Nothobranchius furzeri: one gene and its partners. The protein of the gene in region 1 purifies or fractionates together with the protein of each later gene. This does not show direct contact. Links are inferred from orthologs where the notes say so. Each region holds a gene or a part of one and is shown on either strand. Other genes may lie near its edges.

Region 1 (7,724 bases):
CAGTTTATCTGTGATCTGTTAAGCGGTTTTGCTCAGAAACACTGTGTGGCGAATGATGAAAACTGTGTACACTTCCTTTTATGGCCTGTTTAACAGCTGATTGATTTACTGGCCCTCATTTCACAATTTGTCTATATTTGGGCTTTGGTGCACCAGCTAGGCTTCTGTAACAAAGAGTTTTATTGAGGAGAGCTTTAAAATGCAGTTTGGTTCAAGTAAACTCAGGACAGTGCATGTGTCTGTTTCAGTCTCGTTATTTTGGATCACATATGTGTGATCGCATCATCTGACCAGACTCCATAGTGACAAAACAGCACTCCATCGCTCTGCACCTTCTCACTCTGGTTTGAATTTTCTCACGTTCTCCTGCTTTCAGTTTGTCTATCTCTCACTGTGACAAACGTACACACTCACTATGTTATAATCTGGAGTTAACTCCCCCCAAAAATGTTCAGTCTTGATTTGACATCTAGCTCCTTCTCTTCTCCGGCACAAAGGTTAGAGGTCACACAGCAGCATTGTCACCATGGCATCTGGAAGTACGAGCAGCGAGGAGGAGCGGAGCCTGAGGGAGTGCGAGCAGTATGTGCAGAAACACAACATCCAGCAGCTGCTGAAGGACTGCATTGTCCAGCTGTGCACCTCCAGGCCAGACAGGCCCATGGCCTTCCTCAGAGAGTACTTCGAGAGGCTTGAGAAGGTTTGTGTGTACTATGGTTCTTAATATTGGTCACTGAATGCTAAACATTACACATTCTTACATCAGGTAATCACAGACAACTAACATTTCTGTACACTTGCTCTAATTTCCTTTGATGCTACACTCCAGTTTCCCTCCTTTTTCCGGAATTATGTTTGTTTTTTACATCTCCATAAAAGTGATAGTCTTACGCTTTTACTGTGATATAATGTAGGCAACACATCTGTTTTTGCTAAGCCAGCCCCATCCTCTAGAGCCCCATGCAAATTGAACTGAGCTCTGCTCAGCATTAGCCAATGGCGTTAGACATCTTCCTACTGACGGCAGTGACAGAACGCAAACATTTGAGATGTACCTAGACTGGTGTAATTGGTGACATTTCTCATGTACAAGTTAGTCTTAACACACGCACGCACGCACGCACGCACGCACGCACGCACGCACGCACGCACGCACGCACGCACACACACACACACACACACACACACACACACGAACGAGGGGCGTTGCTTCCATCCATATTCACATAAGTAAAGAGGGGGTCTTAAGGTGCTTCTTTTTGCTCTAGATCAGTGGTTCCCAAACTTATTTAGCCGCGCACCCCCTTCTATGTCTCTCTCTCTCTCTCTCTCTCTCTCTCTCTCGCTCTCGCTCTCGCTCTCGCTCTCGCTCTCTCTCGCTCTCTCTCTCTCTCTCTCTCTCTCTCTCTCTCTCTCTCTCTCTCTCTCTCATATATATATCAGATGTCAAGCTAAACAGACAGGGTTAAAAAAAAAATTCCCCATCACTTTCATTTTTTAAATAGTAATTAATAAACATTCGATACCATTTCAATTTCCTTTGATTTCATTTTAAATAAATATTTAGAGTGCCCAGGTAGCACATAAAAAATGCAATTGAACGGTTTTCTTAAAGTAGGAACGTTTAACCTGTGCGGCCAGAGCGCTCTCCTTCCTTCTGTTCTGCGTAAACCTGAGCTGATCACCTGCTTGTGCGTAATCAAATGTCAATAGGGGACAAGATATAGCCATGATGTTCACTTTTACCTCAGACCGACTTATTGCTGTTTTATGGTGTGGCTGAATCTGTGATCCGCTGCCACGCTGACTGGAATAACACATGCTGCAGTAACAGGAGTTGTGGTCAGGTTCATGAGGAGTCACTGGCTGTAGCGGACCCGACTCATCCCAGAAGCTAATATCTTAATTTGACCTTGAATGAAAAATAACCTCTTAAAAGTTTTTATCGTGGTGGAGGCAGCGTTCATTTCTGCCTTCAGTCTGACGGCGCGCCGGAGTTAAAGCAGCGTGCGCGCTTATTGAATCTGTGTGTGTGTGTGCGCGCACGCACGCGTGGCACAGCCGCTCAAGTCACCGCGTCTCGTTATTGTCGCTATTAAAACTTCTGCCCAGCCCAGATGTGCTCACATGTGCACCCGTGAGCCGTGACTGGAACGCGTCTGATCTCTGACAGACGCACTCTGAACTTCAGATCTTCAGCGCGCTGTTAATAGCCTGAATGGGAATCATTTCTTGTTATTTTGTTACATCCACAATGTTCTGTGTGTGAGGTTTACAATGTCAGAACACCTGCATGAGACAGGGTGTTAATTACAATCTGCCAGAATGACTCACCACCTTCAGATTCCTCCAACACCGTTAAAAATGATCAAATACGGAACATATCGGCGTGCGCAGGCCAGAGTGCTGAAGCTCGGTGCATTGTTATTATGAAGCTAGGGCACATGTGGAGGACACGCGCGCAAAAATATACTTGTTTTCAATTACATTTATTGGGCCCACTTACTTTTTCTTTGGCCCACCCACAAATGAGTTTCTACAATAATGGTGACATATGACAGACTTCTCTGAGCTCCGCAGCCATTACACTTTTCACCTCGCGCACCCCCTAGCGGCAGCTCGCGCACCCGCACCACACTTTGGGAATCCCTGCTCTAGATGGTGCTCTCCAAAAAAAAACAAACAAACAGATTTTTACTTAAACTAATAAAAAATATACAACCATATAAAATCAAATTGTCAGTTCAACCCATTTAACATTTTTATTTTGAATAAATTTAGGGATGTCCCGTTCTGATATCGAAAGTAATTCAATATTGACCCAAAAACATTGTATTGTGAATTATATCGGACGGCAACAAAAATCTCCGATATAAGCGGTCCGTTAAGGTTCACATTTTAGCAACCAATAGTTTTTCCCATTTTTCCATACTTACTGTTATTGGCTTTTGTTCTCCGATTGAGTAATGTCACTTGATCAGAAGTGAAAAAGTTGAATCGGGACATCACTAAATAAATGATCTGGTGTAGTATTTGTGATGTCATCAATACAAAACAGAAATGGCTGTAAATGTTAGGTTTAACAGAAAATGTCCTAACTCTAAAATCAGTAAACCACAGCTCTTCTATTCGTTTTTTTCTCCTACAGATGTGCATGCATACGGGTTTTTGTATTTTTTGGATGGTACGGCTCCCATTAACCTGAAAAGGCTTACCTCATGGCTCGGCCACTTTGGTCATCAGAGGATCATCGTCGGCTAGCAGAGCCTACACACTCAGGACAATCCAGACTCTTTTCATGTGTCGTTCCGCAGGTGTGGAAGGACATACCATGCACGACTAGAACAGGGGCTTCCTTGTCAACTTTCAAGAAACTCCAGCTCTTCAGAGAGCATCTTCTAGACTAGGACCCACCCTGCACCCATCCCCCACTCTACAGTTCACTCCTTGTTCACTTCCCTTTATGATTCATTATGCTGCCTCTCTGCCACCACGGGTGACTGATTAGTGTTTTGTTGTTAGCCTCAAGGGCAGCCTGCTGGCTTCATTATCACTTGTAAGTTGCTATGAACCAAAGCAGCTGCTAAATACATAAACATATTTAGAAATGATGTTTGAGTGACATCTGAACCCTTGGAGGTTTATTCCACATCGGTGGCTGATGGGGCTGCATCCTGGAACACTAGTCTTCTCTTTGACTCCTGCAGGAGGAGGCCAAGCAGATCCAGAGCCAGCAGAAAGCCAGCAGTTCCCGCTCAGACTCTCGCGATGAGGAGGTGTCTCCACCCATGAACCCCGTGGTAAAGGGTCGCCGACGAAGAGGAGCCTTCAGTGCAGAGGTGTACACAGAGGAAGATGCAGCCTCGTATGTCAGAAAGGTAGTTTAATCACTCCAGTGTGCGAACCGTATTGTAGTGATTCTGATGATATCTGATAGTAAAATCTCTTTCTTTAATTCTATAATTACAGGTCATTCCAAAAGACTACAAAACGATGGCTGCTTTGGCTAAAGCCATTGAAAAGAATGTGCTGTTCTCACACCTGGATGACAACGAGAGAAGGTACCGGGCCATAGATCGTGTTTATTTGAAGCTTTTTCAAGTGAAACGTGGATTTTAAGTTATTTGTGTTCATCGGATCAACTCACTGGTGTGTTTTATCCCCAGCGACATATTTGATGCAATGTTTCCAGTCACTTATATTGCCGGGGAAACTGTCATTCAGCAGGGTAGGAGCACATGTTTCATGTGTTATCTAAAATATTGACGATATTATGACCAGTGCGATACTAAATGTATTGTTCTATGTGTTCAGGTGATGAGGGTGACAACTTCTACGTCATCGACCAAGGAGAAATGGATGTGAGCATCTTTACTTGGTTTTCTAACATAAAGACCTTTGTTGATCCTTTTCTGAGGCATGGTTCGTACCTGTCTGATTCCACAGGTGTACGTGAACAACGAATGGGTGACCAGCATCGGCGAGGGGGGCAGCTTTGGAGAGCTGGCACTGATCTACGGCACCCCGAGGGCAGCCACCGTTAGAGCCAAGACCAATGTGAAGCTGTGGGGCATCGACAGAGACAGCTACAGGAGAATACTGATGGTGAGGGAACTTCTCGTCGACTCTGTGGATCATCTCACGGAGTTGGAGTAACACCCACCCTCTTTCTTTCAGGGAAGCACTTTGAGAAAGAGAAAGATGTACGAGGAGTTCCTCAGGAAAGTGTCCATTCTAGGTGGGTGTGTTTAGTTCTCATCAGCTGCTGTGTAGAAGTTTAAAAATAAACACGGAGTGGAGTTATTGGTGTTAGATCTGGAGTTTAAAATAACATGAAGGTGTATGTAAAAATATATCTAGACATAATCAGAGCGGGCTCAGCCTTTTGTGTTATCATGGTCTATCAGATCAACATCTGTGTTCTCCCTCCTCAGAGTCTCTTGATAAGTGGGAGCGCCTGACGGTGGCCGATGCCTTAGAACCCGTCCAGTTTGAGGATGGACAGAAGATCGTTGTGCAGGGAGAGCCAGGAGACGAGTTCTTCATAATCTTAGAGGTTCATGCACAACCCAATATACTCATGGCTGTCGGTGCATTAAAACGTTTTATTTGTGATTAATTACAATTTTTAAATGTATCATCACATGATATTTCTCATGTTTCCAATGTTTTTATAAGAAGTAGGAGCAGAGAAACCTACTTCCTTTTGGCGAACGATGACTAATGCTGTCTAGGACATTTTATAAAAAGGTTTTACGTCTAAAGGATACTGCACGCTCAAAATGCAAAAAGTTAATTCATAAGCAGCAAGTCCACCTCCCAGTGTAGCACAGGGGAACATTAGAGCTCCTCAGACTTCATCCTCCATGATGCTAATTAGCATGTAGCTTCCCTCTGTTGTGGCATCTGTTAGCTTGTCTTGCTTCTGTGGATGTCCAATATCATCGGTCTGCTGATATTATCAGATGATTTTTGCTTTAAAGGGTAATATCGGAAAATATTAGTATCGGTTTTTACCCCTTTAGTGATCCAACTTTTACACACCACGCACATATTACACATCAAACTCTTTGGCTTCATCTCCTCTCTCTCATAATGCCAAAATATGACAGATCTGATGATTAGTTTTGAGATATTTTGGTTTTATTTGGCAGAACTTGTGGATAATTAGGAATTTGCACCGTGTGGGGAGGATCTGCCGTCCTTAGAGCACGTAGCAGCTAGCAAACACCCAAACACAAGAATCTTATCCCCAAGGCTCGTGTTTCTTAAATGACGATCGTTATAAATGTTTTATCAACATAACTACAATCTACAGAAACCAAAAGAAATACATTACTGACTGACGCACACATCTTAGCTTAGCAACTAGCCTCGCATAGCATGTGTACGCTCACGCTGCTTACACTTTATCAGCTAGGTCACTTTAACACATGCCCAAACATTCCCTAAACAAATAGATACTTACAAAGACAAATGTTCTCCAAGGCGCCCACGTTAAGGCTAAATCAACGTGTTCTTGATGACCCGTTAATTCTCTAGTTTCTGCTTAAATGTAGGATGTAAACACACCGGCAGCTAAGGCACAGAGCACTCGCTCTGTCGTGTTTTGCTCAGACAGTTTAACAAAGATTGTTTGAAACAGTGATGTCTCACTTTGATCCATTTCCAAAACCTAAAACATTTGAATCTTTTTATCACCTACTAACCTAATCAACCTTTTTCCCATAATGAACTGGATAATTAATTGAGGCCTAAAGGCGTCACAGAGCGTTAGTCCAGATTATCTCAAGGAGAATGTCTTCAGCTGCTTCTTTTATCTATTACTAACATGCATTGAAGTTGTCTGCAATTTTGCATGGATAATGTTTAAAGCAGGGGTCGGCAACCTGTTCCCATCAAAGAGCCATTATTACCCGTTTCCCACAGTAAAGAAAACACTGGGAGCCACAGCAGCCGCGGCGTTGTGGGCGGGGCCTACCCTCAGACAGCAGAGAGCTGCTCACAACAGGTGACAGCAGCCGGTACCGGTCGCTCGTGTACGTCAAAGCTGTCTTTCATAAGAAGATTATCAATAAAACGATTTATATAAAATGGATCCAGAAGTTGTAGCCCGTCTCTGCCTACAGGATTTTGATATTTTTCACCCTGTTGGTGGTTTTACTGAGTTTCCACTTTTGTCATACATTTCTTTTTAAAACATGTTTAGACTGTTCAGAATACAAATCCAGGCTCTGGTTTGATTGTTGTAATTGAACTTTGTAGGTGGGGAAGGTCAGAAAAGGATCCGATCATTCTGTTTTTCCCTCATTTACAGCGACGGAGACAACGGCGCTGTGCGCCTGGCTCTGGTGTTAATCAAGTTAAATTATATCTCTTTGTAACAATTTTCACAAGAAAACAGAACAGTTAAAAGCAGGGCTTGTGTTGTGTTGACCGGATAGTTCCCGTATTTGGCCGTTTATTTTGACAGAGAAAGAATAGAAAGAATTACCCCGACGCATGCAGACGAACTGACTCTTTATTCGTTATGCACATCGCAGATGTAGCTAAATCACTCAAGAAAAGATTCCCATCTGAACATCTGAGCTGGACACCGCTCAGCGCAGCTCGCTGTCAGCGCGTACGCACGGTGCACAGCGAGCTGAAGATGTGGAGAGGGGCTTGGAGCGCGTCGCAGAACCAGAGCGCATGCGGGAAGATTCCTCCGTCTGAAGCGAGACTTGTCACTTAGAAAATGTTCCCTGATTATGAAACTTTGGCTGAATAGCGCTTGTTCCTGTCTCCAATGTGGCGACACATCCAGGAGCCGTCTGAGGAGAATCCCAGAATCTGACATCCTCTTCAGCTCAGAATGCGCCGATATGATTACGCACAAGCGTGACGTATCAACCCGGTCTCACAGTAAGACCGGGTTGGACCTGTTCAGGTTTACGCAGACAATCTTTACATTTAGAATTGGCATACAGATGTAAAATTAATGCAGTAAAATATAAAGCATTTTATTTAAATATCCATTCGTCATTTTACAAGCACAGAGAGCCGCATCAGATGGATGGAAGAGCCGCGGGTTGCCGACCCCTGGTTTAAAGCATGCATGATAACAAATTTTTAATTTTTTTTTTTATTAAGAGTGACCCCTGCGTATATCAGTGTCGGGAGCCAATATCGAGCATCACTACATGCTTCCATTTATCTACCATTCTCCTGCATGTTGTATCACA
Region 2 (8,477 bases), on another chromosome or scaffold:
ACGTAAAAAAAATAAATAAATAACCCACAAACAGTTACTTATTGACTTTATTGCACCCAACTGACTCATAGCTGATGAGAAATACTGCTGCTAATTACCCTTTGTCCCAGTTGGCATGAACTGCCAAAGTCCACTATTTTGATGGCACTCCTCTTTGGGTTACAGAGGAGGATGTTCTCGGGCTTCAGGTCACAGTGGATGATGCTGAGCTCAGGCGTGGCCAGGAAGAGTAGCGCCGTGCATAGCTGCTGGGCAAACTTCCGGGTGAGATTGAGCGAGACTCCGCGGAAGTTGGTATTTCGGAGCAGGTCGTATAAGTTATACGACAGCATCTCGAACACGAGGCAGAGGTGGTTCCGAAACATGAAGTGTCGCTTTAAATGAACTGCAGAAAAAGCAAATTATGTCCATGTTAGTCAGTAACAAACCCCCTGGCCTTTTATTTTTCTGATCAGATTAGATGCTAATTTCAAGAGTGGATTACCAATGTAGTATTTCATCTCGGTATCATGTTTGTTCATCAACTCCAAGAGGCGCACTTCTATCTGGGCTTGATTGAGGAAAGCTTTCTTGTTCTTGATGATCTTAATGGCAACCCATTCCTGCTCGACTCGGTCATACGCTTTCACAACCTAAACACGCCAACGACAAACAGTTTACAGTTTGCTCAGCATGAAGTTTTTACGGATTAGTTTTGATATTAACGTTTAGGGTCAATAATCACAAAAGAAAATGTACAGAAATGCTGGTTAATACTTTTAGAAAGAACATTGTATTCTTATGAATCAAATAAACGTTTGAGTGGAACTGATAGTGAAGCACCTGTCCAAACGATCCTTTTCCTATCAAGGAATCAATTTCATAGCGGTCCATCCATTTCTCCCCATTCTTGACGATGTAGTCATAGTTATCATCGTCATAGCCATCATTGAACACTTTCCTCTCCTTTTTATGACTGGAGTCTTCACCCTGACCCTGTTGGTGCCGTCGCTTCTTTTTTGCATAATACACCTGTAAGTTAACACATTACATCCCATAACCACACACACAAGTCTTTGACGAGCTAATGAAACACACAATGATCTTTGTTAAGTTGAATCTTCTAATGGATTATTTTATCATGATCTCACCAACATGACTTTGTTTTATTCAATAAAAATGCAGTAAATTAAAACATGTTGCATTTTGTTTCGTCTCAGCAAAAGTAAAAATCTAAAAGACATTTAAAAAAAAAGCTGCAGTAACTTTAATTGTAAGCATATCCAATATGATTAAAAGTATAGCTGGTTAACTCTTTCAGCTGCTAAAGTAAATAATTAGTTTAGATTTAAATGCATCAAAACAAACTAAAAAAACAAACCTCATTGATGTGTTTGTATGTTTTGATAAGGTCGATGGAGAGCTTCCTCAGGGGAGCTGAAGTTGGGTCACGAAAGCACTGGGGCATGTGCCTCTGGAGTGTCACAGGTAAAGTATTCATGAACAAAAAAACACACGGCAATTTCATAAGAAACAGCATCCTCTTGAATCATTGCAAGTAATGATGGTTAACAAGACGTGATTAAACTGAAAGTGACATTTGACATGTAGCTGCTCTGCCTAGTGACAGTAGAAAAAGGGAAGTAGGCTTTGATATTGGACCCAAAACTGTAAAACCTTGAGGAGCTATGTGGTGGGGTTCGTATACCTGATTGGCAGTGAGCTGTGGTGTCTGGTCGCTGTACGGTAAGACTGTAACAGATTGGTCAGTGCTTGGCTGGTGGCGGTCACTGTACTGCTGGTGCGTATGGGGCATTGGAGCAGCCATCTGAAGACCAGCAGTGTGTAAAGAAAAAGAGGGCGCAAGCCGGACGGACGAAGGTTTGCATGCTGAAGTCTCTCCTCCTAAGAGAAAAGAACAATGTTAGGGAATGTACTTTCACTTCAATCCCCAATATATAAACTGACAAATAACATTAAGAAAGAAAAAGTTTATAAAAAAATGGTATGTTATATTCTCATTTTCATGCTAAACATTTTTTGCATTACAGTTAAAATAAGTGTCATTCAGACTGTACAGATTTAATATAAACTTCTCATTTTTACTATTTCAAAAAAGCAACAAAAACCCTTTACACCTTTACAAAAATGCGCAATTTTCATTATGAATAAAATATATTTATTTATAACATGCATGTTAAAATAAGACAGGTCTTTAATAAATCCATGTTAGGAAAAAAAGGCACAGTATCTGAATTAATGTTTAGATATTGCATTTTAATGAACATGTTAACCAAATCTAAATTGCATGAAAAGGACAGCAAAAATAAAACAGCAGCAATGTATCAACCTTTGTGAAGAAAAGGGAGAAAACGGTAGGTTTAACAGTGAGAAGGGGCGAGAATACAGCATCTCCACACTGTACAGTGAATCATCCTTCATTTTAAGCCAGAAGGAATCAAAAAATTATTAAATAGCATGTTCAGCTATCAGCATCTCTCACCAGACAACACAATTCACCAGCGCTACACAGTAACCACTATTCAGAATCCCAGCAACAGCACCTAATTAGCATAGCCTATCACCACAGAGATACAGCGTGATTTGGCAAGCCCATCAATGCACAGACCAATCACAACGCAGTATGCAAATAGCCTACTTTTGTTGCCAGGGCAGAGCTGCTCCCATTTTCCAATGAGAAAACAAGAAATAAACAAGAAATAAAACTGAACTTTGGCACACTTAGACGTTGCTTTCAACACAAGAGCTTGACAGTAAAATAGCTGCACAGCCTAAAACCTGCACTTCATCTGAGAGCGTTAGAAAGCTGACCCAGCTTTGGAAAAGCAGAAAATACACATCCACTGACAGAAACAAGAGGAACTGTAAAGTGATAGAGCACAGACAACAAGGTATTTGAGAGCCAAGACGCATCTCTTTTTTCAGCCACTATAAATATGTTAAAATACACATTTATACCTTTTCAGAATGTAATTTAAACAAATTAAAAAGTGAATTACACTTAAGATTATATTAAATATTTGTTCATCTTATGAGCTCTAAATATATCCTTATTATCCATCATGTCTTTGTTACTGTTTATCCTGCTGTGTAAAATAAATGTTACCATTATAACCTAAATAACTAAATAAAAACTACCATCAACAATTTAAAAATAATAACTACAGTCCCGGGCAGTTCAGATTGTGTGACTTGGTCCTGCTCATGATGACTCATAGATGTTAAGTCTTGAGGCCAAATTCAAAACAGCAACATAAGTTAGAAAAGATCATAAGTGAACTAGTTTTCCCCAGCAAAGGGTTAAAGCCTAATGTACAGCTGCTAACCTGGATGCATCTTCTGTTTAATTTCATATCATCCTGGGAGGAGAGTCCAGCAGCAAACCACAACCCACTACAAAGAATAAAAACACTTTATTATAATTTTGCATTTTGGGTGGGATTTAACATCACTGAGATTAAACCTGAGTTAAGAATCAGTGACAGATGGCCACCAAAGATGATAAGGGACCCCCAAAAACTTGTAAAAGTGAGCTGGATGTGAATGCTGTGGAAATAAAACAACTTAAAGCATATTTTAAAAATGTGTGTTAAAAGTTTTAAATTTCAGGTTTTAACTATGAGCTGCTTGAGATTTTAATGAATTAAAATTCAATCGCAAAGCTGTAAAACGGTTAAAAAAATAAATTAAACAAATCAGAATTCACATTGTTGTGGGCCTTGAGGCTTTAGCTTCTTTTAGTATACTCTAGGGTAAAAATGTTATTTAAACGAGAATTTTAGCTTTAAATATACACCAATAAAATAGACAACTGTTCGTCTGAACACAACTATATTTAGTGTACAGGACTATGTAATTTTACAAAGAACTGGAGGGAAGTAACTAGTTTGAGAGTGCTTTACTTCTATTAGACAGTCTTGAGACTTGATTTTATTTAAAACGTTTAAACTAATTGTAATACAAGTAAAATAATAGTGGTACAAAATGCCAATTTTTAGCACACTTGTAGCTCTTTAGTCTTTTCCTAAACGTCTGCTTTATCTTATTCTTCAGTACTAAGAAATGAACAGTTCCTTTCTTGGCTCTGGTCATTATGGCATCTGTGGGCCTATTTATGTGTAAATATATCGACAGCTAGCTTGATATTAGAAGCCGAATCGTACAAAAGGATGCTTAAAGATCTCTGTAACAAGCCCCGTGTGTCATCCTCTCACGCCCAACTGATTAGATTCATTCCAAAGATGGATCAAACATAACCGATCCAAAACAATTAAATGCTAAACGTTCGCGGGGAATAAATATATACCGAGTCGGTCTGTACTTACAGATGATAAGGTAGATCTCGTCATGGTTGGAATTTAGAAAGCATATTCAGTGTTAATTTTCGTCTTCTCTTGCTTACATATTGTTCGTGAGGCAGTCCAAATCCTCAAATAGATGATATTCCCCGTCACGTTACCGCTAGCGGACTAACTAGCTATAACGCTGTCGTCGTTACCCTGAAAACTGCGGGGCAGATGAGCATATCTCTCACCAGCCCGACGTTAGCTAGTGACGCTGTGTGCAGCCAGCGGGCTATGAGGCCCATGCAGTAGATCAAATCGGGGAGGTAAGCTAACACGGCTTCAATCATACAATGACAGGACCCAATATAGCACGGTTAGCAGGAACATTAACACCGTGCCATCACGACTCTCCGTCCAAACTCACAGTCAGCTGGAAATTCCTTCACGTTCAGCATTAAAACCCGTCTCTTGACCTACTGACTGTAAGCAAACGTTAACCCTGGCTCCACAAAATCTCTTAGCCGCCACAACTTCACTACCGCCTCCATCATTGTTAACCATTCACGCTACATGGGACATATATACGTACGAGAAAAGCCAAATTAACGCAAATGTGAAATAGAACAGTTTGGATCTGCTTACCTCTAATGGCACGATCTTCATTTAAAGTCCAATAACCTGTATGATGAGGAAACTTATCCAGCTTGATTCTCCACCTCCCTGCACGGTTAGCGAGTAAATCCAATCCCCCGTCCTCTGGCCGGCTAAAATAACTCACCAGTCACATCTAGTACGCGCTTCATTGTCCAAGCCTTGCTGAGCAACATCCGTGATCGAAGTAATTTCATCAAACGTTACTATCAGCTGATGACCAACAACATGCTAACTAGCACGGGTAACTTACTGGCTAACCTTAGCTGGTTCACAAAATGAAGGCAGCTAACATCAGCTAGCTCCTTTGACTTAGCCTGAAGCTAACGATTCTAGCCACCGCTAAATAAACGTTATGCCAAATTCTGATTTAACGCTCGTCTTTGCGACTGAAATGTCGGTCACCTCGATGAGCGGCGACAACGCGATTACATCTAGTGCATTTTAAACACTAAGCAGAAGCCGTGTCCTCTGATAAATTTTGGTTTGGAATTTTGTGTCAATTTTCACAAAATGGCGCGCGGTCCAAACCTGCGCAGTGAACCGGCCCGGTGGACCAGAGACACGGACAACTGAGTTAGTGCGGCACCGCCTAATTATTTCAACTAGGTTAAAACGTCGGGCTCTTTGTCTTCTTAATAATCCGATCCACTAGACGCATCTCGATATCCAAAAACGTCAAAAATATATCCACTGACAGCATTATTCCGGCGGGAAGGGAGAACATTTGAAAAGACTGAGCTGGGGGGGAAAAAAACCCTCCTGACAAAATGGCGATGCTCTAGCTTGTTGCTATGGAAACTGTCAATCAAAAAAGAAAAAAAAAGAGAAAGAATACCCGGATGTGCCAATGACGAATAAATTCGGAGCTGGCCAGAGTTACAGCGCACACAGGAGTCCAGCGGTGCCCCTCTCCGTGTTTTTAACCTCATTCGGCCTGTTGCTATTTTTTTTGGATGACGATGCTTATTTTATTCCGATAATATTTCACTATGTGGTGGTTCCTCCTCAGCATATTTTAAATCCAATAATGATGATGATGATGATGAAAATAATAATAATAATAATAATAATAATAATAATAGTTATATTTAAGTAATATTATCTCAGCAAAACAAATAAATGCTGAAAATTCTATTTTTAATAAACAATTAGCCTATTAAGTACCAACACAAATGACTGTTATTGACAATATTGAAATTATTAGCACGTAAATTAAATTTGAACAGGATCATCAAATCTGCAGTCCTTGTTCTGTACAAAAAATTTAATAATTAAAACTAATTTAAGCTACAAGTTTCAGATGACTTCTAACAAATGGAAATGTTATGTTATTATATTCTAATTTCTAACCATCCATAAATGTTTTTTTAGCTAAAGGGTAAAATGTTGATATAAACCAAGTTTATGTGAAACCAAATAGCTATCTATAACTGTATTTTTGTTTGTTTTCCCATGAGTACATTATACCAGAGGTGTAGAATGGAGCATGGGCACAATTATGGTGTGAGGACGGGGGGACATGTCCCCTACATTTTCCCATAAGGCAGTTTCGATTCATTAATGATTACTACCTCTTCTAGTTTTACTGAAATGAGGTAATGCTGTGTTATTTTTATTTTAATGAAGTTCACTGACCAGACATTCTGAAAATTCTTGTAAAATTTGGTTTCTTGGAACCCCCCCCCCCCCACACACACACACACACTACTCCTCATTACTTCATTGGACACGAGTCACATGACTTAGAGAAGTCAGTGGAGTAAGTTTAAAAAATATTAATAATTAGTGGATCAGTTAATTAATGAAATAACTAATTTTGCCAAATTAATGTTTAGGATTTTGAATTAAAAGTTTGGTACATGGACTTGACCAATATGAACATGACCTAATTTATGACTCAAGAGGAAAGACTTGAGACCGCTTAGCTAACATTATTATTAAGCTAATTTTAAACATTTGGTAACACTTTACAGCAAGGGTATATTTATTAAAGTTACTTATTGTATTATTAAGCATTAATAAACAAAGGATCTCTTTATTAACATTATCGTTAACTATAAGGTGTCCTTAAGGTTGGGATGAAGGGCAGGGAGGGGAAGGGTGTCTACTTGGTAATACGATACATAACATGGTTAAAGAGCAAGTCACCCCCTACCAGAGTCTTACTCCACTCCCAATTCCTGTTTGAAAAACGCAAAAAATGCAGTTGCTTGGCAGACCGAAAGGACAGAGCCGCTAACAACTAAACACACATAGGCTCACAACGACATTGTGATCTCATGATGTACTAGCTGACATCATAGTGTACTTCTTAGCCAATAGTGATGGTAGATTTAAATTCAAATGCAGTGCAGAGTTTTTACCTGACGACGGCGCAACAGTGACAGTTTTAGGCAGAATATTTCAATTTTAACTAAGATGCGCTAAAGTGCCAAATTATTGACTGCATGTGTTTGCAGCACACTCAGACACTCGTTTATATAGTTTATCAGCAAAAACAAGTTTATTTGGGGGTGACTTGCTCTTTAAGCAGTTGTTTATACTTTATTTATTGGTTTATTAATGCTTAATAACACACTAACATTAATAAAATGACCCTAAGTGTTACCAAACATTTACATCAATGTGATTTTAAAAGTGGTTCTCGGTGAAACTGAACCTGTTTACCCGGCTAAAGGTCACTGTCCAAATATAAGCTGTACCTGTTTATTAGTATTTTACACAATCTGATTCTGAATCAACATTAGGTGTTTCCCCAGTGAGTCGTGGAGGATGGCTGCTTATACTGAGCCAGGATTCTCTGGAGGTTTCTTCCTGTTAAAAGGGAGTTTTCCTCTCCACTGTCGCTGCATGCTTGCTTAGTATGAGGATTGCTGTATAGTCACTGACACTAGTCAGTGACTTGATGCAATTTGCTGGGTTCCTTATATAGGAAACATTATTTCTGATTGGCTTAATGAACTGTGAATTGGAATGTTTATTATGTGAAGTGCCTTGAGACGACTCTTGTCGTGATTTGGCGCTATATAAATAAACTTGAATTGAATTGAATTGAATATATGTAACAACCGATGGTAACAACTGATAACTGCATGTTAGGCATTTAAAAAAAACTCCAAGTCCAGTTAATGTTAATTGAAAATAAGTCCGTCTATTTAAAAGTGAAACAAGAACATTTCCTCACTTACTTTGTGACTCTTTCCAGATTCTTGCAGGTCCCGCGGCGTTTGAAGGTTTCAGATGTTAACGTTGACATAATCCTAAAACAAAACAACCCAACTGGTTCATTTCAATCATAAAAATGGTGTTATACTGCTCCCCAGTTTACCCCCAAAAGGCAAAGATGGCACAAAGTTTTCTTTCCTGCTGCCGATTTCCTAATGCACCCATAATACATTTTCCAACATTTCTTTGTATCTTTTCATTCCCGTTGTTTAAAGTGACAGCAAACATCACGTTAAAACAGTTTGGATTGATGTTTTATGTTAATAAAAGCTCTAATTACTGTTTAAAAGTGAGATTTGGATTAAAAGTGAT
Region 3 (8,178 bases), on another chromosome or scaffold:
GACAATGTGATTGTGAAGACAAGTAATTATTTAATATTTTTCAGTTAATAACACTGACTACAACAAACTGCTGAAGCATGAGACAAACAGGATCACGAACGTAAGAAGATATGTTGTTTTATTCTGTGGACCCAAGTAATAAGAATAAAATTACGATATTTCAAGAATGGTAGTCGAACACAATAACTTTTAAAAATTAGACATTTTCCATAAAACTGTTCATTTCCACTTGCTTTATAATATTAGCATTTGCAATTTTGTTATTAAGGAATGACAAGAAATAAGAATTTATAACACAACTATCAATAAATAAATGTCAAAGAGTAACTAAAACAAAGATCTTATGTAACCATTAAAGGTTAAACTGTGTTGTGTGTCCATCTTCATGTTTTCATAGTGGCTGAGCGGAGAGCTGACCAGGAACAACGGTGGTGGCAAATCCCAGTTGGGTCTGTGATGGAGTGATGCACGCCTGGAGTGATTGCCATCTCATCCACAGTGAGCACACACTCTCTTTCCATCTCTGTCAGATTTTTAACCTTCAAACTGAGCATGTCACACACCTCTCCTAACACACCTGGTTCCAGTTAATGGGCTGCATTTGTCTTTGCAGGGTTCTAACATCAGGCAGAGGGATACTCATGCCCTGAAGAAACCTGCAGCCTGTTGAACCCACTGAAAAACAGAGCTGTACGGCCTTTTTGATTGTCTGTTTACTCCATTTAATGCCTCATGTGTTTTTCATGCCTTTTTGATTTTCTGTTTCCTCTCTTAGTAGGTTTTCCAGCTGGGTACCCTGGTTGCATAGCCTGTTCCTTTCTCATCCTGGCCCTGACGCCGGCTCCTCATGGCTTCCTGGGATGTCCCTCTCTCCTGATACCATCTCATGTCCCGTCTCACTTTCCCTCACCTCATTTGCCTCACTGCTGCTGCTGCTTTCCTCATTCTCTGAAATTATAATGACACTGTTAGAATAAAGAATAATTTTAAAATAAAATATATAAAAATGTCTTAATATTTCAAAAGATTTGTACCACAGTTTACTTGAGTACTTGTGGTCACTGGTCAGTGGATCAACATGCAGTGGTTCTGCTGTACTTCTCACTGCGGGGTCCTTCCTCCTCCTTGGTTCAGGGCGATGAACAAACACAGCATCAGCCCTGAGTCTCACCTTGCCTTGCCTAGTCTTAGTAAACTGTCCCTCCTCAAAATGTGCCTGTAGAGTGGTGTATTAGTTTATTTCCTGCCACGTTTAACAGTTTAATTGCAGCCTTGTGCAGTTGAGAGCAGAACATGTAGAGCCTTGATAGAAAACATGTGAGAGTGCACATTAAACTCACTGCACACAGCTTTTTGTTATTGTGATCTCTGGTCATGGTGAGGTTGCTCCTGCTGACTTGAGCCAACCATTTTCTTCTTCTCTCTGCATCTTTGGGTAAGCCATAATTCTGATTCCTCCCTCAGACTGTTTGCTATATGCAGCGCAGCCAACCAAGGTAAGATAATCAACCTATAAAGCAATTATTAAAATACTATTTTTGTACATATAGAAATACTGAACTAAACCAAAAATATAGAGATGTAAAATTACATTTAAAAATTTTATCCAACCATAAAATTAGCCATTTCAATTTTTAACCCATGGACACATTTTATTTTAATAATAATCAAAATAAAGTTACTCAAAAGAGCTTCATTAGGTCTTGAGTACATTGCTCATAATTAATGATTCAGCTTATTTGTGCATATGTAATGACTAAACATAATGTTGGTAAAATGCTTTATTAAAAATGCTATTATACATGTACAAGTTTGGTGTTCATTTTTTCCACAAATAACACTTTTTATCTACTGTGATGAATCATACAGTTTTATTGAAAATTTATTTTTAATTAGTTGCTATAGAACTGGATACAGATGCATGTACTGTCTTCACATAAAAATATAAAGTAATGATTGTAAAATGTATTCTACTGAACATAATAGATATCATTCAAAGCATAAACAGATACATATTTTCTTCAAGGTAAGCTGGAGCAGAATTCTATTCAATAAACACTTTAAAATGGATATTACAACTCGAGTTTAGGGATTCTTGTAGGACTTAAAGTTATTAAATATGCTTATATTAGAGCAGTGTGTTGCATTACTACATCAAATGTATTGCTATAATATATTATAGTAATGTATGTGGTCTAAATGTGTTCTACAGTGTGTTAGGACTGTCGTGTTCCTGTAATGTAGAACAGTCATGGGTGTTTGTCTTCCTACAAATGCTCGGAAAAATATAAATTGGCTACTTTGTGAAGGAGTTAGGACATAATATTTAATATAATATATAATATTATTCAATAATTACCACAAATCGCCAGGGGAAATGTGATTAGGTTAAATTTTTGTGATTGTCCCACCATACGCTGTTCAAACTGACTTACGGCGCTGTGATGTTTGGGAGCTCCATGAACCACGTGACCGCGAGTTCAAAGAGTGTTGTAACTCTCTTTCTACAGCTCTGACAGAACCCTGCCCTCCTCTCCCAATGATTGGACAGGAATTCGAGAAACGTGATTGGTAGCCAAGACTCGTGCTCTCATTGGTTCCACCCAAGCTCCTCCCACTGACGCTAGAATCGAGACAGATTTGAGGTCTGTACCTGTAGAATGAAATGTGTGTTTTGAGAGTTTTGATTTCAAACGTGTACCTTGATTTTTTTAATTTGGAAGTCTGCTAGTTACAAAACGAAAGTTTCATGTTTCTGAATGAATGTTTGATGTTACAAAATGAGTAGTAAATGTACAAAATTAAAGTTTGATTTTACAAAATAAAAATGCATGTACAAAATACAATGTTCTTGTTACAAAACAAGAAATACAAGTACAAATTGAGAATTACAAGTTATAAAACTAAAGTTACAAGTTACGAATCCAAAGTTACATGTGATGAAACATGTTCCAAGTTACAAAACTTGGCACAAGTTACGCTGAATATTGTCCCAATCCTAGCTCCATACATCTCACCTTCCATCCATTTAGATTCAACCATCACAGTCGTCCTATTTAACTTGTCTTGTTTTAATTTGTTTAGAAAATACATTTCTTATCTTTTATAAACCTGAATCTGTCTGAATTGAGATGAAGTGTGTTTGATCACTGAAAAAGCAAAGAATCCTAGAATCTTCTGATTAAACATCCAAAGACCAAGCAGGTTATATCCTATATCACAGCTTATTGGTCATGAGTAAAGGTAATATATTAAGCTTAAAAGCAACAATATTCACCCCGCTACATACCGGTATGCATTTAATCTGCTGATGATTTTAAACATACAATTACTGAAGACAGTTTTAAGCAAATTCAGCTCCGTTATATTGAGACTTAAGTTTTGGCCCAGTGAGCCCGGCCCTAAGGCACACTGCTAGAACCTCTCAGTTATGATTAGCAACGCTGAGTTCAAGGACTGGGAAAAATCTCTGCTTTTTCATTTCCAAGTGACTGATGGCCAGACAAGAGTGGCTGATTCTAGAATAGAATAGAATAGACCCTACTGATCCCACAGTGGGGACATCCACCTGTTACAGCAGCACCAACACTTAGCCTGAAGAGAAATAATACAACGGTACACGTGTATATATACACACATAGGCAGGTATCTAGCATGGGAACCTTCCAGCACTAAAAACCACAAATAGAAAAATGAAGAACTGAGCAGCATATTGTAAGAGACACGGACATACTATGTAAATCTGGTACGAGGTACTGAACACATACTGAATAGTGCATTGGTGCTATTGTGTACCAGGATAATACCTAACTCTAATTACCAGCTGGATTTAGGAGCATAGAGAATGTACTTCAGGTTAGTGTTAAAGCAGCTTTAACCATGATCTGTGCCAAATATGACACAGCAGGAGTCCGTCTAAAGGCTCAGGAACCCTCTGCAGGTGTTCTGGATTTATCAGCTGATCAGAGTCTGGAATGGTGAACCTTTCCACAAGAATCTGATGGTCTGAGATGTTTATGTGGGCTTGTCATCAGCTGGAAGCCAGAATCGTCACAGATATGACAAATCAAGGCCCGAAGTATCTATGAGTCCGTCTCATACACTAGTTTCACCTTTCAAGTTGAATTACTGACATAAGCGAACTTTTGCACCAGATTCTCGTTTAGGAAAGTCAGCTGGGCTGGAAACCCGGTCCTGCAGCGGAGACCAGGGACCCGGTCCTGGATCAGGAGCAGGCCGGATGTTGGTGCTGACAGACGTTAAGCCCACATCACGGACTTGAGCTCGGCACGCGAAGTTAGCATGCTAGCTGAAGGACAACAGAGGTTCGGACGAACATCACTGACATAGGAAATGACACCAGTCCCGTCCGCAGCCGAGCTGGGCTCTAGCTACGAGCTCACCCAGGCCGCGCCGCGGTGGTTTAGCTCCGCCGTAGGTGGACAGCAGGCAGACCGGAAGCTGCTGGTGGCTCAAACAACTAACGGATCCACCTTCTTGTTACTGTACCCCGGTATTTAGTAGAAATTCAACTCACCTCTCGTTGTCGGACACCAGAACCGCTGGACAGAGCCGCTGCGATGGATGCTGTGCGGTACGGGAATGATCTTTTCGTTCGGAACTCATCTGAACTCTTGCTACAAACACGGATTTCGGGAATAACTGGCAAAGGTTCGTGGACCCAGACCGTTTCTGGAGTTCAGACATTTATGATGAGATGAAAAATTAACATCATATTTAGTTCTATTGCGTTCCACAAACCGTTCAGCTGTTTCAGACCGATTTAAATGGCTCCTGAAAATGAACCGAACGGCCCACGAACGCGTTCCTTCCCGATTCGTCCCATTGACACACGCAGACGCCCCATGTGAGTCATTTGGAATCGTAGGATGTCCAAGGAAGGTCCCGTCTTTCTCGCCTCTGATTGGCTGGAAAGACTCTCCTATGATTGGCTATTGCTGGGTTTTACTCACGTGACTATCGTGACGTCACAATGCGCGAAATTTCAGGATGGGGCAAGAAGTGTTTTGCAAGTCAAAGAAACACATTTTTAAATTTTAAACAATGTCTATCCCTCAAAAGATGTGCTCAGAAAACGTTTTAACATTGATGATAATTCATGTTCCTTTTGTGGGAAGGATGTTGAAACAACTGATCATATTTTCTTTGAATGCAACAAGACACGGACGTTTTAGAACTGTTTTGAAAACTAGATTCAACCTCAAATTGGAATCCCATGTCCCATTTCAAGAGATGGCATCACCTTTGGAACTCTCCTTCAAACAAACAACCAAGAACTCTGCTACAATCTACTTCTCTGTCTGGCAAAATTCTTCATACATAAACAAAAAATACTGAAATCACCCCCTGTGTTTAATGCATTTGTACATGATTTTAGATTGTATCTAAGATCCCTTAAATGTATCAATAATAACAGCTATGAAGATATGTATAGACTGTTGTGTAGACTTCCTGGAACTGTGTAGTGGTCCCTTGCATTTGTCCTCCCCCTTTTATAATAATAATAATAATAATAATAATACATTTTATTTAAAAGCGCCTTTCAGGAGGACACCCAAGGTCACTTGACAGAAAACACGTGATACAATACAATAAAACAATAATAAAACCCAAACAAGAAAAAAACAAAGAGAGAAACAGTTCAATAAAATCAGAGGTTGTAGACAGATTTAAACATATGTTTTGAGTTTTGTTTTGAAAAGGGTAAAACTGTCGATGTTCCTGATGTCTGGGGTAAGTGAGTTCCAGAGTCGAGGAGCAGAGTGGCTGAAAGCTCTGCTACCCATGGTAGCGAGACGGGCAGAAGGAACCGCAAGATGGATGGAAGAAGAAGATCTGAGTGAACGGGATGGGGTGTGAATACTTATAAAGTCTGAGATATATGGAGGAGAGAGGTTGTGGATTGCTTTGAAGGTATGGAGGAGAATTTTGAAGATGGACCTGAATTTAACTGGGAGCCAGTGAAGCTGCTGGAGAACCGGGGTGATGTGGTGAAAGGAAGGGGTTCTGGTGATAATACGGGCTGCTGAATTCTGGACCATTTGCAGTTTATGAAGGAGTTTGTTGGGGAGACCATAAAGAAGTGAATTGCTATAGTCGATACGGGACGTGACGAGGCTGTGGACGAGAATGGCGGCAGTGTGAGGGGTCAGTGAGGGACGGAGACGGTTTATGGAACGTAGATGGAAGTATGCTGACCGAATTATGTTATTAATGTGAGCTTGAAAAGAAAGTGAGCTGTCAAGAATGACACAGACTCTTGACGTGAGGGGAGGGGGAGACTATGGCGCTGTCAGTTGTTAAAGATCTTTTCACTGACTGTTCGATTCTCATCTGAATACATTGGCATGCTTGCCTTATTTGTAATGTAAATATGCTTTTCTGCAATAAAAAAAACGAACACAACGCGATGGAGGTCAGCGAGTATACAAAGGCTTTAAATGGAGAGGATATCGTAAAAATACAACTTAATTTAGGGTATCATCCATACAGTTTAAAAAAGTTGGACTTTTCTTACAAACTTAAGTATTTACCAGGCCCCCACAATGCAGCTCTGAAATTGAGCCAAACCCAGAAGTGAAATAAATTGCAGTTCCACTCTCATCCGCTGGGGGCTGGTGTCAGAAACGAGCAAATCCTCATTGACTCCCATGTTAAAAATACCAATTTCACAGCAGAAATAAACATGTTTACAGCTTGGTACCAAAACATGTTTTTGGTTTAAATGATCTAGTTTACACTCATGACAACTCTGAGGGGGGTGAATTTTTTCTCACTCTTCTGTTTAAGTGTATTAAAAGCCTAAAATTCTTTATAATTAATGAGCATCAGACCCACGTGACCACAAAGCTAGCGCCGTGGAAAGGCCTCAGTAGAGCCTCGGTCTGGCTTGGAAACTGTTCCGGGATTTTGAGTCTCTGTGTTTGTGTATTCTTGTTTGGATATTTTTTGTGCAACTGTTGGACAAAATGACTTGCTGTGGCATTAATTTCACTAATAGAGCGTCCAAGGAGTCTCCACTTCATTTTTTTCAAAATTATATTTATGTATTTTAGTTAACTGCCGAGTTGAGCTTAGATTTTAACATGTACTGTCTAACCATGAAATTTAAATGTAATAGGGTAAAACCCAGTGCATTTAACATAATGCTGCACTTTAGAAAATGGGTTGAGATATAACATGTTGGTGGAGCTGGGTTCCGACTATCGGCTTGTGGAGCTCTCGGGAGACCGATGTTTTCCACCCTTATCCCCTCCCCGCAGCCCGGTCCATCTCTGTCTGATCGCGGCTTCTGTTTGCTGCGCACGGGCTGACGGCTGGTTCTCCCAGCAGCTCGGCGCATCTGTCTGATCGCAGCTTAGCTCCGCGGGCTGACGGCTGGTTCTTATGGCAAGCCAGAACCGCCAAAATACGCCACTTCTCCCCGCAGCTCGGCGCATCTCTGTCTGATCGCGGCTTCTGTGTGCTGCGCGGGCTGACGGCTTGTGGAGCTCTTGGATGGAAACCTTTCCACCCGGTTCTCCCCAGCGGCAGCTCTGCGCATCTCAGATCGCAGCGGTGCTTGTCTGCTGTGCGGCTGCCGGCTTGTGGAGGTCTCGGAGAACTCTGTGTTCCACCCGGTTTTACCCAGCGGTCAGCCCGGCGTATCTCTGACTCAGAAGCTCTGGTGTTGTGCACAGTTAACTCCAGTTGTAGCTAGGTTGCTACCTCCGTTAGCTTAGTTCCCACCTCCGCATTAGCTTTGGGTTAGCTTCATGTTAGCTTGTAGCTAGTTCGACCGGGTCGTCAGTCGATCCCAGCCTTACAGCCCCACCCTCAGGTCCATCTCTCTTCCCTCTTATGGAGTTGTCTGGGCTTGACGGAACCTGTGACACGGTCAAAATGGCGGTGGTGGCCACCTCCCATTTTAGCAGAAAAACTTGTTATTGGAGCCTATGGAAACCCATTGTCCATATATTTATTTCGATGGTATTTACCCAGTGTTGAGAGTAAGGTCTAGATGCAGCTGCAGCCGCTACAAACCCCTACAAAACACGCCCCCATGTGCCTGTTGAGCCCCCCTGGCGGTCAGAAAAGGGAAATGTATCAATAATGGCAGTGATGTGGGTCAGATCCGGTGTTACGCCAAATTCTGCGACCCATCACAATTTGTGACCC
Region 4 (8,216 bases), on another chromosome or scaffold:
GAGAAGTGAAAACCTGCTGATTGTTGGGCAATTTTAGACAGATATTTGAAACAACTGCCAACCACCATAGGTGGATTGGGAGGCTACGGACAGTTGTCTAGGGCTCCCGGTCCACTTCCTAAAAGTGAAACACAGTGAGGCACAGAAATATTAGGACAATGAAAGGTTTTGCTATACCAAATCATACTCAATGTACAATTATATAATCAATTTGGGTTTAATGTACTTAATCTCAGCACGAATTTGAGGTTGTCCAACCACACTGAAGAAAGGCCTTGTTTTAAAGGACCAAAGATAATTTAGACAACTCAAAGGGTTGCATGAACCTTCTCCTCATAAAGTTTATTCCAGATGTGGTATACACCTGGCCTTGAAATCTAGTCAGTTGCTAAAGCAAAAGGAATTTGCTCTGCATGTTGGTCTAGCCACGCTCTATTGGAACCCGGTTACTCTGGAGGCTGGTACTGTGGTACTGTGATTGAGTGAAACTAAAATGGCGATGGCTTACTTGAAATGGCTTTGGCATCAACTTCGGACTATTTAGACTTGGGCTTTTGAGTCAAGAGCAGATTGTTACCCAGGTTTATTTGGAAAAGAAAATGTATGGCATACTGCCTCGTTGACTGACACCTGTAGCGGTGAGTACGTCACATTTTTTGTTGTCCAATAGAATGTGGAGACAGTTTGAAAGACAACTGTAGATCCCGCCCCACGACAGAGCTGTCAAAGGGTCGTGGACAGACTATATAGTCACACATATACAGTAGAATGAATTTCCAGGCTAGTAAGCACACACAGCTAGGGTTGCAGGGATTAACCGGCTTGACTATTAACCCAGGTTAATCCCGGTAAAGACGTTTCCAACACCGCCTATAAAAAACAAGCACAGGCAAAAACAAAAGTGAAACTGAACTCGTGCACGCAAAAGAACCAGTGACAACCATCTGGACTACTCCATTTCCACCTAGGGAGTGGTTAATGTCTCCTGTGTGGGAATATTTTAGATACCGGTATATATACACCTTTAGTACTTTAGTGAACTCAAAAAGACCTGCTCGTCAGTGGGCAAGAATCACAGTCACAATATTCACCCAAGTGAGGAAAACTCTGCAAGAATGAATCAGTATCCATCATTAGGAAAAAACTCCATGAAAGCCAATACAGAGGATTCATCTCAAAGTGTAATCCATTTAACATCTAGACGTATAGTGCAGTACAACACGGTGGAGGCAGTGTCATTCTGTGGTCATGTCTGATGATGCGACAGGAAACAGAAACAGCCAAATTATTGTTAAGCGTTTCATAGGTGGACAACAACCCAAAACAAAAACAGTCCTTGCAAAGGGCAGCAAGAAATTGGAATATTGTGCAATAAGTAATCAGATCAACTAAATTGAGCATTTCACTAAAGACAAACACAAGGTAGGAGGATCCAACAAGCTGCAAAAGAAGACAGCTGTTTTTTTTAAAGCTGGTTATTGTGCAATGACTGTGGAAAAAGTTAACACTATCATGTTACTGTCCAAATATTTCTAGGAACAGCAAAAACACAAAAATCAAAACATTTAAAAGCCTGTTTTTTAAAAGATTTTTTTGCTTGTAGTTATAAAAAATTCACAGATGAAAGACATTTTCTGACACTTGAAAAACATTCAAAAACAGATATTTTATTCTGAAGGGCTCAACATTCAGAACCCCAGCCAGTTTGGTGTGGACGCCTTTTCCCACGATTCTACAGGAGTTTCTGCTGATTACATGATTACATGCTTTGACAGAGGTTTATGCTTCACAGAAAATAAGCATCGTATAAAGAAAGCTCTGCAATCTTTTCATAATTGGCCTAAAATTAGTCAAATTATAACAGCAGATCTTGCCCTAAAGTTCTAGAAATGAAAGTACTTAAAAAAACATTTAGTGAAAAAATCTGTTTGGTAAAAGATCGAATCACCAAACATTATTCAAGACCTTCTTGGAATAAACTTTCCCACTATAAAGGTAAAATTAGGTAGTTTTGTTACTCTTCTTAGCTACTACCACTATTTTAAATATAGCATATTTTCACTGCGGTTTATTAATGACACATGGTCTCTGTTGCAGGTTTTCTATCATGAGGTGCAGAAATTCCACTGCTTAATTCTCAAAACAAAAAAAGAAAATAAATGGTTGATAATAAATATTAAGACGGATGTACATGCATTGACACAGAAAAGGAGAGCAATGAAAACCACATATTTTATTTTATTTAGTTAGTGATCAATACCATGGAACAGAATTTTAAAAATGAAAACCACATTTTCAGTAAATATTTGCCTCAGAAGGAATATGTGCTGTGGTATGGTTATTAATAATAATAATAATGATAATAATAATAACAATAATAATAATAATAATAGTCTGCATTGGTGCTGTAAGGAAAACAACAGGACAAATGCACAAGAACGAGGCACCTATATCCCCAGCTGAACCTGGACATTCCCACAGAAAGAAGACAAAAATTACAAATTAATTTCAGAGGTAATCCAGCAACAAGGTCTGCTTAAACGGTTCTGTCCTTTACAGTTAAATCTAACATGTACAGGAAGTCTAACATTCCTTTCTATTCCTATTGACATCATGGAGAGAAAGGAATAAGATCTGGGCCGCCTTGTGCAATTCCGCCTGTCTGCATCTTCCATGTTTTTGGGTGACACTTAACTTTTACTTTCCCATCAAACTGTAAACCAGCTGTTAAAAGGCGTGAGAACCATAAAGGGGAGTACTTAATTGTTTAGGTTTACCTTCTTGAATCAACTCTCGGGGGCAACAATAGTGTGAGATTGAAAAAAGACGATGCCGTTGAATGATGCTGTACAGATGTGTTCACTGTAGGCCACACAATCAATGATATGGCAAAGTCAACAAAATACTTCTTGCTTTTTTCCAGGCCTTTATTTATTTCATTATTTTTCTCAGAAGCCGGAGCAGGGAACACGGCTGGCATGCATCTTCCAGTCTACAAGATGAACTTCCCAGAGAAAAATCCAATGAAGATGGCTGCTATGACGACGAGGAGAGAGGGCAGAAAGGCGACGCTATTTTCCCGGCCAAGGACGTTAGTTGAGTTTGACGTCATGTGGTCCGAGCGGGGCATTTTTCTCATTCTATTGCCTTCCTCCTGTTGAAAAATATGAAACATTTAAGATGGACTACACATTTGAGATTTAGGTTGTTCTTATTAAAACGTCTAATCAAAAAATTGAAGCTAGATTATAAGGTTGGGCTACACGTAAAAATCGGTATTCGTCAATCCAACAAATGACTATGGGCATTTCACACAGATGATATTTAGACATTTTCCTAACTTAATCAGCGATGTGATGCGTCAACAATATACTGCATTGCAATTGGGTCAAGAAATAAATGTGAGAATAAGGGGTGGGACATTTGGCCAAAAGTTGGCGATTTTGCCAAAGCAGAGGGGGCAAAGGAGGAAAGTAACGGATTACTAATGTTTACGGTGTTACTGTAATTAAGCTGTTTCTTTAAAATGTATTGTACTTCACCACATAAGAGTATAAAATATGTTTATTGGCTTTTAATAAATATAAAAATTTGCGATTAAAAAACTACAGCGTCTAAACAGAATGAGACACCGAGAAGAGCAGAAGGTACTGCATACCGGTTAAACCCAAAAGCAATGATTGCTTGTTTGTTTTAATTCTGTTGTGATGTTGTTTTCATTATACTTACATTGATAATTATTTATTTCCTGTAGCTAGGTCACATCTTATGTAACTAGACCTTACTTTCATTGGTGTGTTTTTATGTAGGTTTGAGGCACAAGGTTATTTGTTTGCCTGATTATTGACCTCAACCCTAACTTTTATTTTGCCATTTTATTAAAACAACTTTTTACTTTTACTTGAGTAAAATTTTAGGCAGGTAATTTAATTGTACTTGAGAAAAATATCATCAAAGTATTAGTACTTTTACGAAGTTAATCCAATAGCCCAACTTTGCAAGATTGAAATTATGAAGTATTGTCTTCCTAATTGTTCGACTGATGCTACAAACGAATTGTGCACGTCAGCATCACCGTGGATGATGAAAAAATTCAGCATTCGGCTAAACAGCAATAGCCAGTGCTTTACACAATCCGATTCATCTGCCCGTCTGACCTTTAGTTGCCGGTTCTCCTCAGACAACTTGTTGACCTCAGATTGCAACCTCTTGCACCTCTCCAGCATTTTCTTCATCTCAGCATCATCTGCAGCAGCAGGCATAGCTGCTGATGTCGGCTCTGCTTTCACAGAGTTCATCGCCGGGGCTGCTCTTGTTGCTTCAATGTCATTCTGCACGACGAGAGGAGGAGAAGCATGACTGAGGTGAAATCTAGCATAGCCTGACCCAATGTGAGAATATGTAGTAGAAAAGAGGCACTGTTTCAAGCTCATGGTGCTGGATCAAAGAGATGAGAAAGTCACACTTGATGTGGTTTTGTTTGAGAGACAGCCAAAATGACGACATGGGAAAATAGAGAACTTCATTGTAGAAGTACAGAAATACAACTACTGTATCGTAAGTTGGCCATAAATACAGAGGTTATTACCACTGGAACAACTTAACATTAAAAAACCTTTTCTGTCACTAAAGGGTAGAGAGTGTGTCCACAAGGTTTTCCAAAAGGGTTCCTGGAATGTCATAAAATGCTTTTAGCTCTACGTTTGTCTTTAATTTTGCCTCACTAATCAAAAATCTCATCTAAAACTGCTTCAAAAGTATTTTTTGGACATTTTCAGACAGAATGCCTGTGCAACAATTATCTGTCACCTACAGAAAAATGATGATTAAATTTTAGGTCAAAAAGAAAAATGCAGATTGCAGCTGACTTAACAACTGGTTCTCAACCATCCATTTTCAGCCATTTATCCAGGGTCGGGTTGGGGGGGCAGCAACCTAAGCAGAGAGGCCCAGACTTCCCTCTCCCCAGCCACTTGGGCCAGCTCCTCCGGGGGAATCCCAAGGCGTTCCCTGGCCAGCCAAGAAACATAGTCCCTCGCTGGTGTCCTGGGTCTTCCCTTGGATCTCCAACCAGTTGAACGTGCTCGGAAAACCTCACCAGGGAGGCATCCTAACCAGATGCCCAAGTCATCTCAACTGGCTCCTCTGGTCAGGATGCCTCCTGGACGCCTCCCTGGTGAGGATTTCCAGGCACGTCCAACTGGGAGGAGGCCTAAAGGTAGACCCAAGACACGTTGGAGGGACTATGTCGCCCACCTGGCCAGGGACCGCCTTGGTATTTCCCCGGAGGAGCTGGCCCAAGTGGCTGGGGAGAGGGAAGTCTGGGCCTCTCGACTTAGGCTACTGCACCTGCGACTCTACTCCAGATAAGCAGATGACGATGAAGATGGATGGACGGACGGACGGACGGACGGACGGACGGACGGACAGACGGATGGATGGGTTTTTTCGCCTCTTACCACTTTATCATTTTCAGAAGGCAGCTCAAAGACACATCTCAGTTTGGAATCCATGAGTTCATCAGATTTTGCGTCTCTCCACTGGTAGAAATGGAAAAAAAATAAGTGAAAACGATGCAGTTAATCATCAACTCAAACCCACAGAAGATCTGACTTTACTACAAAAACAGCTTTATAGTAGTTAAATGATTATATGGAAGTTTAATTTATACAAGTCAATTAAAACAGAACAACTGCAGAATATTTAGTTGTCATAAAGCAGTTCAGAGAAAACTACAAGATCTTCTTTATTTAATTGTTGCAAAGCTTTTGCTGCCCTCTGGCGGACAAAGGGTGAATACACCTAAAATAATATGGGCCATAATACATAGCTTAGAAAATATATATGACAACCAAAATAGTTTGTCAGCATTTTGGCCCTTTTGTACCATTTTGTATTATCGAGGAACATCACAAGAGTCCTGAAAAGAAACAGCAAAACAACCACCCCCTCTTGTGTCAGCTGTCTCTACAGGGAGTGCAGAATTATTAGGCAAATGAGTATTTTGTCCACATCATCCTCTTCATGCATGTTGTCTTACTCCAAGCTGTATAGGCTCAAAAGCCTACTACCAATTAAGCATATTAGGTGATGTGCATCTCTGTAATGAGAAGGGGTGTGGTGTCTAATGACATTAACAGCCTATATCAGGTGTGCATAATTATTAGGCAACTACATTTCCTTTGGCAAAATGGGTCAAAAGAAGGACTTGACAGGCTCAGAAAAGTCAAAAATAGCAGAGTGCAGACACTTCTGCTTTTTGCTCCCTTATCTTTTTTTCCCCAAGGCTCTTTGTCCTGTCTGCCTACAGAGCACTTCTCTGCATTTCTTCTGGAAATCCCTATTTTTTAGAAATGGATTTAATTAATTGGTCATTCAACGTGATTGATAAGATCTTTTCCACGATGAGAACGGAGGAGGGGGCTCCCACTTGCCCTCAAGGGACACACGCAGCGGGATATGCGCTCGATTCCTGGCAGGTCTGGAGGATCGTATGTCTCTCTCAGTTGTCCATTGAGGATGTTGAAGACATGTGGATATTTGGCTGGATAATCACTGGATTTCTTCTGATTGGAGTAGGAGGATATCTGGTATTCTGGAAATTTGGGAAGTCGGGAGCGATTGGAGTGCGACCCGCACCCATGGAAAGCACCGCCCGGGCGGATGCCTCACAGACTGGGACGTTACTCGAGGTGAACCGTAAGCGGGACAATGTCCTTGCTGCGTTGCCGGTATTAGTGCGCCAAATGGATGTCATCTCGGAGAGGGTCGCTGGACGGTGTGGAGATGTTTAAAACCTGAAATTGGCTTCACTGGAGGACTGGAATGATCAATACAGACTTCAAGGCAGAGAGGAAAATTATCTCTGCCTGACCCAAACAAAGTCTTGTTATCCAAATCTGACGCCAAGGCAGCCTTGAGCTGCTAACAACAACCCCCACGATGGAAGGAATGCAGACAGATGCTGTAAAATTGCGCCCACATTTTCAAAGTTAAACACATCTCCTTTAACAACGGTAGTTTCTGCATCTTTACTGCTCTGCTTCAGCTCTCCCACCTCCCGCTGCGCAGCGGCCACAAACTCACTGATGCGCCTGCAGCCTCTCAGAGTTCCTGCTGCTCTAAACATTAAAATAATTATTTCATTTTCTGTTCCTCACTTCTGATTACCTTCAATGGTGTCTGTTTGTTGCTACCAGGTACAAAAACAAACTTGTTTTTATTTGACTATATTTCTGTCCTGTCTGTTTATTATCTTCCTGCATCTCCTCTCAATCCTAAAGAAAAACTGCTACCTGGGTTCATATATATTCACCTTTGAACTGCAGTTCTAAAAGATCTACCGGCCGCAAAATCAGCGGAGTGTGCGCTGCTCGCCGGCCGCATCAGTGAGGTGCGTCAGCGGAGGACGAAACAGGTGATACGCCCCGCTCCACAGCAGCGAAAAGCATCAGGCACAAATAAAAGACAGAACACATAAAAGGAAATGAGCCGACATGAACGATCGCGTGTTAAATTTGTTTTTGAGGTGGCGACACCTAGTTTGATAATGTTACTGTGGCCGTGCTCAGGACGCAGATGTCTGGAGCGCGTCAACGATCAGAGCTTTGCATGCACAAGCTGGTTAAGGTTAGGATGGGGGTGAGGGAAAGGTTAAATTGCAAGAGGGTAAAGGTCACAATTTGGTTAAATGTCTGTTTTACGGCGGGTGTCAGTACCGACGCTCTGGCACAGCGCGTTGCCTCCTGATGCGCAGGGGCTCGTCACCTGCTGTCTTTTCCGAGGACTGCATCTTGTCACTCATTATCACGTAACAGCGACTAGTTCATACAACCCCTCACACACACACACACGGTGCAACAATGCACTCATAACTTGCAAAGTTGCTGTTCTATTTCCACAAATACCACAAGCCTGGAGGAGTTCTGCTGTGTGGGTGAGTTGCTAAAGCTAATGGTTAGCTTCGACCAGCCAAGATGTTCTCAGTTTCCTGGACGCTAAACCAAAAACAGCCTTCCCCATCGCAAGTGAAGATAGGTGAGTCCATGAACGTGAAGGGACAATGCGACAAAGATCTGTCAGGATTTCTAGAGTTTCACCGTTTATTTTCTATCAGAAGCTAACACAAGAGATAGGTGTAGAAGACTACATTCAGCTTGTATTAAAAACTCAGGGTGACTGATAATAATCAGAAATATGACTTTAAAAATGTTTTT

What was found.
Region 2: the proteins of cAMP-dependent protein kinase type I-alpha regulatory subunit (region 1) and dyrk1ab purify together in Homo sapiens (affinity purification with mass spectrometry; 6 studies listed by BioGRID and IntAct, with this or other methods). This does not show direct contact. The link is inferred for Nothobranchius furzeri from reciprocal best matches to the Homo sapiens genes PRKAR1A and DYRK1A.
Region 3: the proteins of cAMP-dependent protein kinase type I-alpha regulatory subunit (region 1) and akap11 purify together in Homo sapiens (affinity purification with mass spectrometry; 3 studies listed by BioGRID and IntAct, counting the BioPlex papers as one, with this or other methods). This does not show direct contact. The link is inferred for Nothobranchius furzeri from reciprocal best matches to the Homo sapiens genes PRKAR1A and AKAP11.
Region 4: the proteins of cAMP-dependent protein kinase type I-alpha regulatory subunit (region 1) and vapal purify together in Homo sapiens (affinity purification with mass spectrometry; 3 studies listed by BioGRID and IntAct, with this or other methods). This does not show direct contact. The link is inferred for Nothobranchius furzeri from reciprocal best matches to the Homo sapiens genes PRKAR1A and VAPA.

What each region holds. Positions count from the first base shown.
Region 1 is NC_091756.1:28,742,577-28,750,300, reverse strand, and holds part of cAMP-dependent protein kinase type I-alpha regulatory subunit, read left to right. Parts: intron 1-248; 5' UTR 249-344; intron 345-497; 5' UTR 498-526; coding exon 527-700; intron 701-3,707; coding exon 3,708-3,878; intron 3,879-3,969; coding exon 3,970-4,061; intron 4,062-4,166; coding exon 4,167-4,228; intron 4,229-4,314; coding exon 4,315-4,361; intron 4,362-4,446; coding exon 4,447-4,605; intron 4,606-4,677; coding exon 4,678-4,738; intron 4,739-4,934; coding exon 4,935-5,056; intron 5,057-7,724. UniProt on the Homo sapiens protein: Regulatory subunit of the cAMP-dependent protein kinases involved in cAMP signaling in cells.
Region 2 is NC_091753.1:50,164,861-50,173,337, reverse strand, and holds the start of dyrk1ab (dual-specificity tyrosine-(Y)-phosphorylation regulated kinase 1A, b), read right to left. Parts: upstream 5,067-8,477; 5' UTR 4,929-5,066; intron 4,486-4,928; exon of another isoform or gene 4,326-4,485; intron 3,394-4,325; 5' UTR 3,337-3,393; coding exon 3,327-3,336; intron 1,885-3,326; coding exon 1,688-1,884; intron 1,454-1,687; coding exon 1,361-1,453; intron 1,012-1,360; coding exon 823-1,011; intron 633-822; coding exon 485-632; intron 386-484; coding exon 99-385; intron 1-98. UniProt on the Homo sapiens protein: Dual-specificity kinase which possesses both serine/threonine and tyrosine kinase activities. Exhibits a substrate preference for proline at position P+1 and arginine at position P-3.
Region 3 is NC_091754.1:39,457,515-39,465,692, reverse strand, and holds the start of akap11 (A-kinase anchor protein 11), read right to left. Parts: upstream 4,682-8,178; 5' UTR 4,538-4,681; intron 974-4,537; exon of another isoform or gene 776-973; intron 691-775; exon of another isoform or gene 614-690; intron 499-613; exon of another isoform or gene 398-498; intron 1-397. UniProt on the Homo sapiens protein: Binds to type II regulatory subunits of protein kinase A and anchors/targets them.
Region 4 is NC_091751.1:42,883,702-42,891,917, reverse strand, and holds the end of vapal (VAMP (vesicle-associated membrane protein)-associated protein A, like), read right to left. Parts: intron 5,541-8,216; coding exon 5,460-5,540; intron 4,332-5,459; coding exon 4,158-4,331; intron 3,155-4,157; coding exon 2,993-3,154; 3' UTR 2,921-2,992; downstream 1-2,920. UniProt on the Homo sapiens protein: Endoplasmic reticulum (ER)-anchored protein that mediates the formation of contact sites between the ER and endosomes via interaction with FFAT motif-containing proteins such as STARD3 or WDR44.